Linked DNA regions of Nothobranchius furzeri. The protein of the gene in region 2 interacts with the protein of the main gene of each other region in a pairwise test. Links are inferred from orthologs where the notes say so. Each region holds a gene or a part of one and is shown on either strand. Other genes may lie near its edges.

Region 1 (3,648 bases), on a different chromosome or scaffold from region 2:
CCTCAATAACTGCAGTAATGCGGCGTGGCATGGACTCGATCAGTCTGTGGCACTGCTCAGGTGTTATGAGAGCCCAGGTTGCTCTGATAGTCGTCTTCAGCTCCTCTGCATTGTTGGGTCTAGCGTATTGCATCCTCCGCTTCACAATACCCCATAGATTTTCTATGGGGTTAAGGTCAGGCGAGTTTGCTGGCCAATCAAGGACAGGGATACCATGGTCCTTGAACCAGGTGCTGGTGGTTTTGGCACTGTGTGCAGGTGCCAAGTCCTGTTGAAAGGTGAAGTCTGCATCCCCATAAAGTTGGTCAGCAGCAGGAAGCATGAAGTGCTCTAAAACTTCCTGGTAGACGGCTGCATTGACCCTGGACCTCAGGAAACAGAGTGGGCCAACACCGGCAGATGACATGGCACCCCACACCATCACTGACGGTGGAAACTTTACACTGGACCTCATGCAACGTGGATTCTGTGCTTCTCCGCTCTTCCTCCAGACTCTGGGTCCTTGATTTCCAAAGGAAATGCAGAACTTGCTTTCATCAGAAAACATAACTTTGGACCACTCAGCATCAGTCCAGTCCTTTTTGTCCTTGGCCCAGACGAGACGCTTCTTGCGCTGTTTCATGTTCAAGAGTGGCTTGACACACGGAATGCGACACCTGAATCCCATGTCTTTCATGAGTCTCCTCGTGGTGGTTCTTGAAGCGCTGACTCCAGCTGCAGTCCACTCTTTGTGGATCTCCCCCACATTTTTGAATGGGTTTGTCGTCACAATTCTCTGCAGGGTGCGGTTATCCCTAGAGCTTGTACACTTTTTTCTACCACATTTTTTCCGTCCCTTCGCCTGTCTGTTAATGTGCTTGGACACAGAGCTCTGCGAACAGCCAGCTTCTTTAGCAATCACCTTTTGTGTCTTGCCCTTCTTGTGCAAGGTGTCAATGATTGTCTTTTGGACAGCTGTTAAGTCAGAAGTCTTCCCCATGATTGTGGTGCCTTCAAAACAAGACTGAGGGACCTTTTAAAGGCCTTTGCAGGTGTTTTGAGTAAATCAGCTGATTAGAGTGGCAGCAGGTGTCTTCTATATTCAGCCTTTTCAGAATATTCTAATTTTTTGAGATACCAAATTTGGAGTTTTCATTAGTTGTCACTTATGAATATCAAATTTAAATGTAATGAACATTGGAAATACATTGGTCTGTGTGCATTGCATGAATATAATGTACAAGTTTCACGTTTTGAATGGAATTACTGAAATATTTTCAACCTTTTGATGATATTCTAATTTACTGGCCAGCACCTGTATGTCTGTGCTTAGATGTAATTTCTAGGAGTTTATCCTAACTCACATATGAAATGATCTCGAACCCTTCCCAGCTTCACCAAATTCTTTAGATCCACATGTCGGAGAACTTCTCGGCTGCATGTATCTAGTCGACTGTTCACCACTTTGGCCACTTTTTTACCTGAGGAAACAAAGGATAGTGATGTAGTATTTACAGGTAAACACTGGTGTGGGGAATTCATGCGGCATGACAAAGCCAATTCTTTAAAAACACTTGACTCTAGCTCTATTGGGTAATTCTTACCGCGAACATCTTCCAGGTCTATAACACCTCGTGAGAAGCAGTGTTTCAGGAGCTCCGCCTTTTCTCCCTCCACCACTTCCAATAATGTGATCTCTGGCAGGAGGCGGTAACTTGCTGTTGCCACTGGAGAGAACTTAGCATGGTCCCTGCCTGAGCACAAAATGAAGCACATACAGGTTTGATACAGAAATCTACCTCTAAAATATGTTTTACTGCCAACACAACATCAAGCAGCAGCCTTTCTTAGGAGGAGGGGTGGATACGCAGCACTGACCCACGTATGATGACGGCCCATTCTTCACCCAGGGCAAACAATATCTCACTTTAGTCAGAAGTCACTCTTGACGAAAACATCACACACATCATGAAAATTCCAAACCTATTTCCAAAGGACTTGAGAGGACTCATTACATGCGTCTAATTATCTGTCTTGTTCATCACCAGTGGTGCCAGAGCTTCTAGAGAAGCTTACTAAAACAATTGGGTTCCCTGCCCTTCAGGCTTGGAACCCTAACAAGACCTCAAAGCAGTTATGAATGGGCTCCAAAGCATCCAGCGTGCGTCTCCTACCCGGCCCCGCCCCTGAGTCCGCCATTTCTAACCTGGGTCCTCCCTGCCTGCATGCTCTCGCACCTTTGTTCTTTCAGCTAATAATGTCATTTCAACCTGCATTATTAAATAAACATGCAGAAAAAAAAGTTTTTTTTTCTTCAGAGATCTCCATTTGTCGACAAAATAAGGAAAAAAGTTGTATTAATGGGTACACCATCGCCACTTAACTGGCAAAGCTATCAAAAAATTCCCAAAGCCAAGAGGATCCAATTTTGGTCATGTCTACTCTTGTTCTTCATCTAAAAACTTTAACGTTGCATAGATTGCAAAGTCTTAGTGTAAAGAGAACAATAAACAATAATAAATTATAAAAACATTTTGACATTTGTGTGCACTCTACAGGTTATTAACAAAAGTTAATATACATGGCTTAAATATCATTCTTTGAGAATCCAAAATCTCATTTTTTCTTGAAAAATGGTGGCAATATAACGATTGCTAGCTTGCACAAAGAATTAGGCATTGTGTCAATTGCACAATTACCAACATTTTTGCAGTTTTCTTCATTACAATAACACTGGTTTGTCCATAAATCGTTTATATCACTTTTAAAGTTAATTCTGCAAAAATTGATGGAATAGACCCTTTAACATTTTGTTTCAATTCAGTCTTTTTCAGGGTTATCGCTGACAAAGCTTGAAAATTATATTAGTAAACTCATTTTAACGAATGGCAACAGACTCCTGGATCCCTGTGGTGTTATATAATGGGTGGAAGATGTAGCTGCGTGCGTGGCCAGATACCCAGTGGCTCAATATATCAATCATTCAACAAAATTTTATTTGTACAGCACCTTCCACTGCCTTTATGGAAGCCCAAGGTTCTGAACATGACATAAAAATAATAAAAGAGCAGAGAACAATAAAACATGCATGCAAAAATTACTAAAATGATAAAACAGAGACGATAAAAGACTAATTACATTATTTCATGCTATTTCAGCTATCAACTTTATTTTTTCCCTAAGTGTTTTTCTCCCCAGAAGAAGCTACAATGGTGTTCTGCTTTGCCGTGGTGGCCTCATGGAGGGGGCCATCGGCTTTAACACTGTTGCTAACCACTTTAACATATTTCCCTCTCCTGAAAACTTTTTAATTTCTTTGACATGGAATGTGCTACTACTAGTTTACCTGCTGACTCAATTATAGATTCACTCAGATAAAGACAATAAAGTTTATCCCTTACTAAATAGAATATTTACTAAGAAATCACAATGTAGTCATCAGTCCTCGTCAGGTGACGTATCAGGTGCTGAAGCACGTTGCATGATGGGATACCTAGGTGCATAAGCAAAGGAAGCACTGGTCGCTTTGTGTGTTGTGAGCTTATTAAACTGCAGAAAATGGTAGTCGTGTTGTGTGAAGGGCTGCCATGCATAAAAAGGCATAAAGTTAAATGTGGGCTGGGATCGCGTTATCCAGATATTTTCTGTTTTTGGCCATTTATTTCAACG
Region 2 (4,312 bases):
TAAAAAGAAGGAATGTTAATGTGTCACCCTGTGAGAAACACCATCAATGGACACTGGAGAACATATTAAATTGAATACACAGTCTGCCATACAGTCAATGCACGTGATTACCTGCAAAAATGCTCACTGGTGTCACCAAAATTCAACATTTCTTTTGTTAGATTCTTGATATTTTATCTCCAGAATGGTTTTCACCATCTCAACGAAGACCGATGACCAAAGGCGATCTATAGCCTTAGCATCTATTGTGTGAGCTAAGTTGCAGGACTGCTGACTAGCTGATGGCACTTTACAGTTTCTAGGATGGTCACCCACTCACTTTGAAGTCGTCTGGAATCAGGAGCTTGGACGTCCTGAGGAAGTTGAGAATGTAGCGGAACATGTGTCCATCCCTGTCAATGAAGTAGTGCTGCTTCAGGCTGTCCAGGACTATAGGCTCCGTGCCATCAAAGAGACGACCAATTCTACAGCGGGAGGGGGAGGACGGAGGAGGAGAGGGAGAGAGGTGGGAGAACAACATGTTGAGATTAAGATTTTGATTTATTAAAGCACAAACTGTAGTGATGGACTCTACAAGGAGGCTTAGACAAAAAGAGAGAAAGGCTGAGTAATATATGTGCATGAAAAAGAAAGAAAAGAAAGGATTAAAATCAGAGGTGGAGTGGAGAGGTCAGGTCCAGCTGGTGCTGGGTTGCCCGAGGCCGGGTGCCTGTCACCCTGAGGCCTGCTCTCGGAGCGACAGCGTGGCCTCCCGGCCTCCAGATGGCTCCATGCCCTTTGGCTCTTTGCTGCTGCCGTGACATCTGTCAGAATAAGCAAGTTGCTTTTGTCTGGGCTCTGCATTCTGCACTTTGTGTTCTCACAGGATTGTTTACCCCTTAAAATAACTGCCGACTTCACCAGAAGAAGTGCTTTGATGCACCTGAGTGCTTAAAAAAATAAGTACCTGACACTAAATCTCTATCTGTTCCAAGTGTGTTTGTGAGATTTGAAGGGTTGTGACATTTGACTGTCGCATAATGACATCAAACACGCTGACATTAAACTCTGAGGAAATCGTGACACTGCTAAACACATTTAGCCTAAAACTGCAGAGAGTTTTTTCAGAAAATCGAGCAAGTAAGACCCACCGAGACTCTGGGAATTTGGTCAGGGTGGCCAAACTGCTGGTGTACATGTGTCCGCCCACATCAATGTGCACAGGGGCATTGGACTTGGTGAGCTGTGCAGGTGTGGGGATGCCCTGGTTACTCAAAGGAGACACTGGTGACCGCGTAATCATGGGTCTGGACATGCTGGAGCGATTATCCTAGAAAAGCATAAAAAAAAGAAAAGATAAATTCAAAATGACGACAGAATTAAAACACTGCAGATGCAAAAATCTGTTTCTTCCCACTCCACAGCCAGGGTTGGAGGATTTTCTTCCAACAGGATAGAAGCAGCCTGACCTTGACCTGAATGTTGCCACAGTCTACAAGCATCTACCTCCTGTGGGCCATAATCTCCAAAACCAAATTAATTTGGAGCATCAATCTCTCTTGGAAGTGAGCAATAATGACTCTTGATTTGAATACCATAATAGGATTTGGTGGGAAAATCAGTCTCATATTAACCTACAAACACAATTTTCTTATAAGCTGCGACTGAATAGCTGTTTCTCCCCCCAAAAAAGTTTCAAACTTTTGAGTGAAAGGGGGAAAAAAAACAGTGCATCTAAAACGGAAAAACGAAAAATTAAATCAGGAAAGAGCAGAAAAGTCAGTAAGGCAATATTATGCAAAAAAATATGCGCACAAATGATGGAAAGAAGGCAATTAAAATAAAAAAATAATAATTCTAACTTGTATAAGAAAACATCGTTTTTTAGTATTTCCATTATTAGTATTACCTGTGCTGGCATAACTGTGGTTGGAGAGGAAGCCACCGAGTGATCATTCTGCTTCAGAGACGCAGCGGGGACCGGCTCTCCTCTGACAGCGAACATCAGTGAGGGCTCCCTGCACTCCGCCGCTCGCATCGGGAGCCGCTTGAGCGACGCATGCACGGACTCATCCACCGAACTGATTGGACGCGGTCGCTTCTTCGCTTTCTGATGCGTAAGATCCATGATATCCGTTTCGTCCATCATGCTCACGCGTTAAAGGTTCAGAGGGCGATCGACGCAGAGAGAGAGAGAGAGAGAGAGAGAGAGAGAGAGAGAGAGAGAGAGAGAGAGAGAGAGAGAGAGAGAGAGAGAGAGAGAGAGAGAGAGTTGGGACCGTTTATTCTAACAGAGGGAAAAAAAGAATGTAGGACGGAGGAAAAAAGCGTGAATAGCGGGAGAGAGCGAGAGGAAGAGCGGCGGAGGAGCGCCGTGACTGTCGCGCGGAGCAGCTTCTTCACACTGGCTGGGAGAAGTCAAAGCCCCAGACAACGTTAGCATTGTGGCGCCCGAGGCTCTTTTGGGCTGTCGCTGTTTCACTGGCACGTATGTGTGTCGCATTTTCAGAGTAAAACAAACCCAGCCCGACTAGATAAACGTTGTGATGCTGCTGCTGCTGCCGCGCACATCTGGACGCAACCGCAGCTGGCCTTTGCCCTCTTTAGGAGGCGCAACAGCGGTCACCTCCTCTTCCTCCCCTCATCACATCTGATGCCCCTTGTTCAGCAGCTGTTTGGTTTAGCGGGTCAAAACCTCTTTCAAAGCACCAAACAAGCTCAACAGTGACCAACCCAAACGCTGTGGCCAACACACACCCTCTGGATCAAACAAATATCTACAACATGGCAATCAAACAGCACCTATTCTCTCAATCAGTCCAAATCAGCTCTGAAAAACAGATCAGAGGAAACCTTCTGCCCCACAATAACAACAATGTTGATTTTTTTTAAAGTGACACTTAAGAGCTACAATCATTGGCAAGCATTGACAAATTTCAAATTGGTAGTTATGGGGGCGGCAATGGGGGTGGCACATGAACACCCATACATGTTTTTGATTGTTTAATTACAATATTGTCATATAAACAGCACAAAAATAAGGAATAGTGGGTTTATTTATTTATTTATTTTACTTTATTATCACTAGAAATTGTGTTAGGATCATGCATCTGTGGAAAGAGCATCACTGCAAGACATGTTTGTGCAAAGAGAAAAAAAGTGACAGAATCCTCTGCAGGAGTCTTTTGATGGTATTTGAGCAGCAAGCTGTTACCAGAAACACAAGCTCCAGGTTAAGGAAGGGGATGCCATTCCACAGCTAAATGTGACTAGGAATAGCTTCAATTTGGTTTTCCACGTGCTGCAATGACCCTCACAGTGAATAAGATTTAAACATAAACTATATTTTGGTGTTTTGTTCATTATTACCGAATGCAATATTCCAGTGCATCAAACATTTTAAAATGAGAGTGAATTTATTGCAGAGGAGTTTTAAGACACACTTTTGGAGGCTCTACCCACTCCTTTGGTTGTTTTGCTAATTTCATGGCTGCACAAATCTTATTAATTAAACCCAGGAGTAAAGGTCGGGCTTTACAATGATTGAAGAATAATGGTCAAAAAGCATTATAAACAAAGAAATAGTTCTTCTAATACATAGAAATTGGTTGCAGTAAATAAGCAACATAAGCATAAATCAATAGATGTAAATGAACATTCTGAACAGGGATGGGGCAGTAACTCTGAAGGTGTGTTAATGCCTCCCTCTGGCTCCCACTTGTTGGCGCTATTGGCCACAGTTTAGCTCTTCAGCCCCTGTTTCTAATCACCACATCGCTATCACACATCTACACTGATGATATCACGCGGTATAAAATCCCAACCACGACATGTCCAACTGCAGTTAAAACTCCTTCCACAGCACTCTCTTGGGCTGTTTCCCCCACAGAAAATGCAGAGAATTTGCAGTTTTTAATAATAGTCAGATTAAAATTAATTAGTTCAACCACTGGCCTTAAAACATCCACGTTCCTCCCTCTCATTGGCAATGTGGGTTTCACACCTAGATACCCAATTAGCAATTAAGCTTGCCTTTGAGTGTAGGCCTCCAATGCGGGTGTGTGATCCTCGTTTGATTTGCATGCCACTTGTGCACGCGCTGATAAGCGCAGGCAGCAGCCATACATAGTTTTTAAAATTCAACTCCAGAATCCCTTGCAGAAGGCAAAGGGGCCTGCGGGGCAAAAGAGAGAGAAATCACATGGCTGCTCTTCAAAAGGGGACCTGTGTAAGGCAGCCTGCAAAGTGCGTGGGATCACACTCAGAATGCAGGTAATTTGTTCCCTGACTAATTTGTGGAGATGGTGGTGTGTGTGTGTGTGTGTGTGTGTGT
Region 3 (4,144 bases), on a different chromosome or scaffold from region 2:
ACAATTTACAAGGCATTCAGTCCTACTAGAGACTACTGCAGATGTACTGATTCAATGAGTGTTCAACACCTTTTAAATGTCCTTATGCGTGTGAGGGTTGTTTCTGGGCGCTCTTGGTTCCCAAAGAAATTTATATTGCCAAACTTTATTCACAGGAGCAAAATTTTAAAAGTTTCCCTTATTTCTTTGATTCCACCCATCCATTTTCATCTGCTTATCGAGGGTCGGGTCGTGGGGGCAGCAGCCTAAGCAGGGAGGCCCAGACTTCCCTCTCCCCAGCCGCTTGGGTCAGCTCCTCCGGGGGAATACAAAGGTGTTCCCTGGTCAGCTGAGAGACACAGTCCCTCCAGTGGGTCTTCCTTTAGGTCTTCTTCTGGTTGGACGTGCCCAGAAAACCTCACCAGGGGGGCGTCCTAACTAGATGCCCGAGCCACCTCAACTGGCTCCTCTTGATGTGGAGGAGCAGCGTGTCTACTCCAAACCCCTCCTGGATGACCAAGCCTATCTTTAAGGGAGAGCCCAGCCACCCTGCAGAGAAAAATTTCGGCTGCTTGCATCCGCAATCTCATTCTTTCAGTCTCTACCCAAAGGTCGTGACCATAGGTGTGAGTTGGAACGTAGATCAACCAGGAAATCAACAGATCGGTACAACACCCACGTTACTGCAGACGCAGCACCAATCCGCCTGTCGATCTTGTGCCCCATCTTCTCCTCACGTGTGAACAAGACCCCGAGATACATTAACTCCTCCACTTGGGGCAGAACCTCATCCCTGACCTGGACAAGTTCTTCTACCATTTTCCGACTCAAGACCATGGTGTCGGATTTAGAGGAGCTGATTCTCATCCCGACTCCTTCACACTGTGCTGTGAACCGCTCCAGTGAGAGCTGGAGATTACGTTCTGATGAAGCCAACAACAGGACAACGTCATCTGCAAAAGCAAAGACTTTCTTAGCTTTTAAAAATAATTTCATATTTATGTTAAATCGTTAACAGTTATGAAAGAACAAAAGCTCAGAAACTATATTCCTTTTCAATAAATATTATCTTGTCAGCAAGATAAATAACTGATAAACCTTTAGTTTTTTTACCCTTTATGTGATTCTCTTGATGTTTGTGGTCTTTATTTGATACTTCAGCCATGTTTGTTTGTTCACACACTTAAATGAATGTTCTTTATATGTGCTTCATCTTTAATAAAGTAAAAACAAGTTTTCCCTTACAAACCAAAAACATAAAGGTTGGCGACACCCCGCGGAGAGTGTGAGTACAAATCGGAGCGCTTCGTTTTCTCGCACATGAGCACTGGAGCCTTCCTTCGCCCTTTTCCGGTCTCCACAGCCGGACCAATCAGAATCGACTCCAGACGACGTCCCAACCAATGAGCTCGCAAGCTACTCTTGTCGAAAACATGTCGCCCATGAAGTTGTGTGTTCCAGGTGAGTCCGCTGATTTAATGTTCCATACAAGGCACTGCGTAGATTTAGAACCGTGTTTTGGTCACGTACCAATTCCAGCTCGTGTAGACGTCGATGTGTCACTAAAGTATGCATTTAAACTTCAGTCAGAGGGCTTTAAAGTTGCCCCAACTGCTACACGCGTGGAATTAGCACATATTTATCATTCGTTCACACACCCAAAAGAAATCCGCTAACCAGCTTTAGTACTAAATTGTGTTTATGCTACATCAAAACAAAACGATCACTCACTAGACTATGCAGGATTAGCAGTTTGCCATGTTGATAAAACGAAATGAAAGGCAACTAAATCACAAACTCACATTAAAAATGAGAGGGTTTGACTAAAGTCACAAACAGTGGTTGTGCTCTTCAGGTGTGTTCATGTCTGTGATGTTAACACTGTTCGTTTGTTATTTTACTGTAGCGTTTTCTGACCCTTGTTGTCTGTTTGCACTCAGGTGACAAGCTTTGCAGTGAGGGAGACTGTAATCCAGGCGCAGGAGTATATCTGCGGCATGGCTACATTTACTCCTCACTCGCAGGCTTTGTGCTCAAGACAACCGAAGGCGAGAAGGTGAGGATCATAATGTAATACATATACTTAAAGAGCAAGTCACCCCAAATCAACTTTATTTTGTCTGATAAACTATATAAACGTGTATCTAATCGTGCTGCAGACCCGTGTTGTCAATAGTTTTGCACTTAAGTGCATTTTAGTTAAAATTTTAATTTTCTGCCTAAAACTGTCAGTGTTGTGCCATGGTCAGGTAAAAACTCTGCGCTGCATTTGAGTTTAAATCTGCCATCGGTATTGGCTAAAGCCTGATTCATGCTTCTCCGTCTGCGTCAGTGTGGAGACACGCAACGTCCTTGCGGGCCTGCCGGAGAGCTCCGCAAGGACGGACGGAGTCGAGCTCTCTTTTCTAAACATCCGTCAGTCGAGACGGACAACGCAAGCTTGTGATTGGTCAGGACGCCGCTGTTGTCTACAGCGCCGCCATTGCGCCCGCAAAAACATAAAGAGAGCCGAGGATAACAAGCGGCAGACACGGAGAAGCTTGAAGAATACCTCGCGAAAAACCTCTAAAATATGAACGTTTAATTCCCCGTGACTGGAGGAGTGAAAAGATGCGCAGCAAGCATTTTATTTGTGGACAGAAATGACAGGAAACCTGGGTTTAAGGTGGCGAGCGCATGAAGAAGACAATGAAAAAACATAATATAAACGCACTATCTTGGACCGATAAATGACAGGATACCACAGAACAGCGCTACGCCCTCTGTTGTCCTGCCGGGGAATTGCTTTGCAACACTCCAGGGGACGGAGAAGTATGAGAGCAAAACGCTTCCATCAATCCATGCGTGTCTGTCCCTTGCGGAGCTGACGGAGAAGCATGACCCAGGCTTAAGAGGTACCCTAGAACGTTAGTTGGTACCATATGATGTCACAATGCTGTGTGTGTGTGTGTTAGTGGCTCCGCCCTCTCGGTCTGCCAGGCAACAGCATTTGTTGCATTTTTCACACATGAAGTGGGAGTGGAGTACAACTCTGGTAGGGGGTGACTTGCTCTTTAAGTTTCAATGTTTAAAACTGATTCCAGGGAGCAAAATTGTGTCACATTTGATAAAATAAACAAAATAAATGCAGTTAGCCTCATTTCATCTGTAACTCGACTACTCTGCCTAAATTAGGTGAAATAAGAAAATCCAGCTAATGAATTACGACTTGGACAGAATGTGACTGAATTCATAATTTTAGGCAGTTTTTCTTGCACTCTGAAGCTTTTCTGTGTTTTTAAGCTTAATTCTTTAATGTTGAGATGAGCAGTGAAGCTCACACCCGTGATGATACAACTCTTTCTACATATTTTCTTAAACACTGCTTGGTCTCTATCCATTTGTACTAATTTATATAAATGAAATTCTTAATGTGATGGACAATGTTTAATTCCATTTAGGTGATTGTGGTATTTGGACTAGAGTTAATAGCTGTTGTATACAGTAGCTTTGTAGTGGACCAAAAATGATATAGTGCCTTCTAGGGTTCTACAACCCCTCCAAGGCATCACCCATGCACACACGCATTCACTTGCTGGTGGTAATGAGCTACAGTGTAGCTACAGCTTCCCAATGGTGCGCTGAAAAAGGTGAGGCCTTCCATACACTGGCACCACCATTCCCTCTGACCACCACCACCAGCAGGCAAGGTGGGTTAAGTGTCTTGCCCAAGGACACACCAGCAGAATTCTGTGCAGGGATCGATCCTACAACCCTTCGATCACTGGACTACCCGCTTTACTTCCTGAGCTACTGCTGAAGATTTAAATGTACTTATTACTGACTTTTGTACTCATGAATGCATTTGTGTGTTTTTAGTTACCAGTGATCTCAGTGGTGAGAGAAACAGAAGCTCAACTACTTCCAGATGTAGGAGCCATTGTCACCTGTAAGGTATGTTATGGAAACAGTTTTCTAAAATGAGATTAAAGACGTCTCTGATTAAAGGGGCATTATGGAAGTGTGACAGCCAAAACATGTATAGAAATAATAAATGTCTTCTTCATACATTCTCCTGCAATGCCCTGGTCCTGTAGAATGAGCCCTGGCATTTTTACTGTGATTGCCTGTTTTTCTGTAAAATCACAGAAAAAGAGAGATGCTCGGGTCGAGCAGGCTGCTTCAT

The links.
Region 1: the proteins of kctd1 (region 2) and polr1c interact in binary tests that used the Homo sapiens proteins (3 or more experiments, as listed by UniProt). The two-hybrid records come from large-scale screens. The link is inferred for Nothobranchius furzeri from reciprocal best matches to the Homo sapiens genes KCTD1 and POLR1C.
Region 3: the proteins of kctd1 (region 2) and exosc1 interact in binary tests that used the Homo sapiens proteins (3 or more experiments, as listed by UniProt). The two-hybrid records come from large-scale screens. The link is inferred for Nothobranchius furzeri from reciprocal best matches to the Homo sapiens genes KCTD1 and EXOSC1.

Annotation. Positions count from the first base shown.
Region 1 is NC_091752.1:59,366,707-59,370,354, reverse strand, and holds part of polr1c (DNA-directed RNA polymerases I and III subunit RPAC1), read right to left. Parts: intron 1,734-3,648; coding exon 1,584-1,733; coding exon of another isoform or gene 1,581-1,583; intron 1,461-1,580; coding exon 1,344-1,460; intron 1-1,343. UniProt on the Homo sapiens protein: DNA-dependent RNA polymerase catalyzes the transcription of DNA into RNA using the four ribonucleoside triphosphates as substrates.
Region 2 is NC_091751.1:52,385,181-52,389,492, reverse strand, and holds the start of kctd1 (BTB/POZ domain-containing protein KCTD1), read right to left. Parts: upstream 2,885-4,312; 5' UTR 2,129-2,884; coding exon 1,889-2,128; intron 1,310-1,888; coding exon 1,131-1,309; intron 465-1,130; coding exon 320-464; intron 1-319. UniProt on the Homo sapiens protein: May repress the transcriptional activity of AP-2 family members, including TFAP2A, TFAP2B and TFAP2C to various extent.
Region 3 is NC_091746.1:82,295,846-82,299,989, reverse strand, and holds the start of exosc1 (exosome complex component CSL4), read left to right. Parts: upstream 1-1,335; 5' UTR 1,336-1,382; coding exon 1,383-1,440; intron 1,441-1,919; coding exon 1,920-2,035; intron 2,036-3,837; coding exon 3,838-3,912; intron 3,913-4,144. UniProt on the Homo sapiens protein: Non-catalytic component of the RNA exosome complex which has 3'->5' exoribonuclease activity and participates in a multitude of cellular RNA processing and degradation events.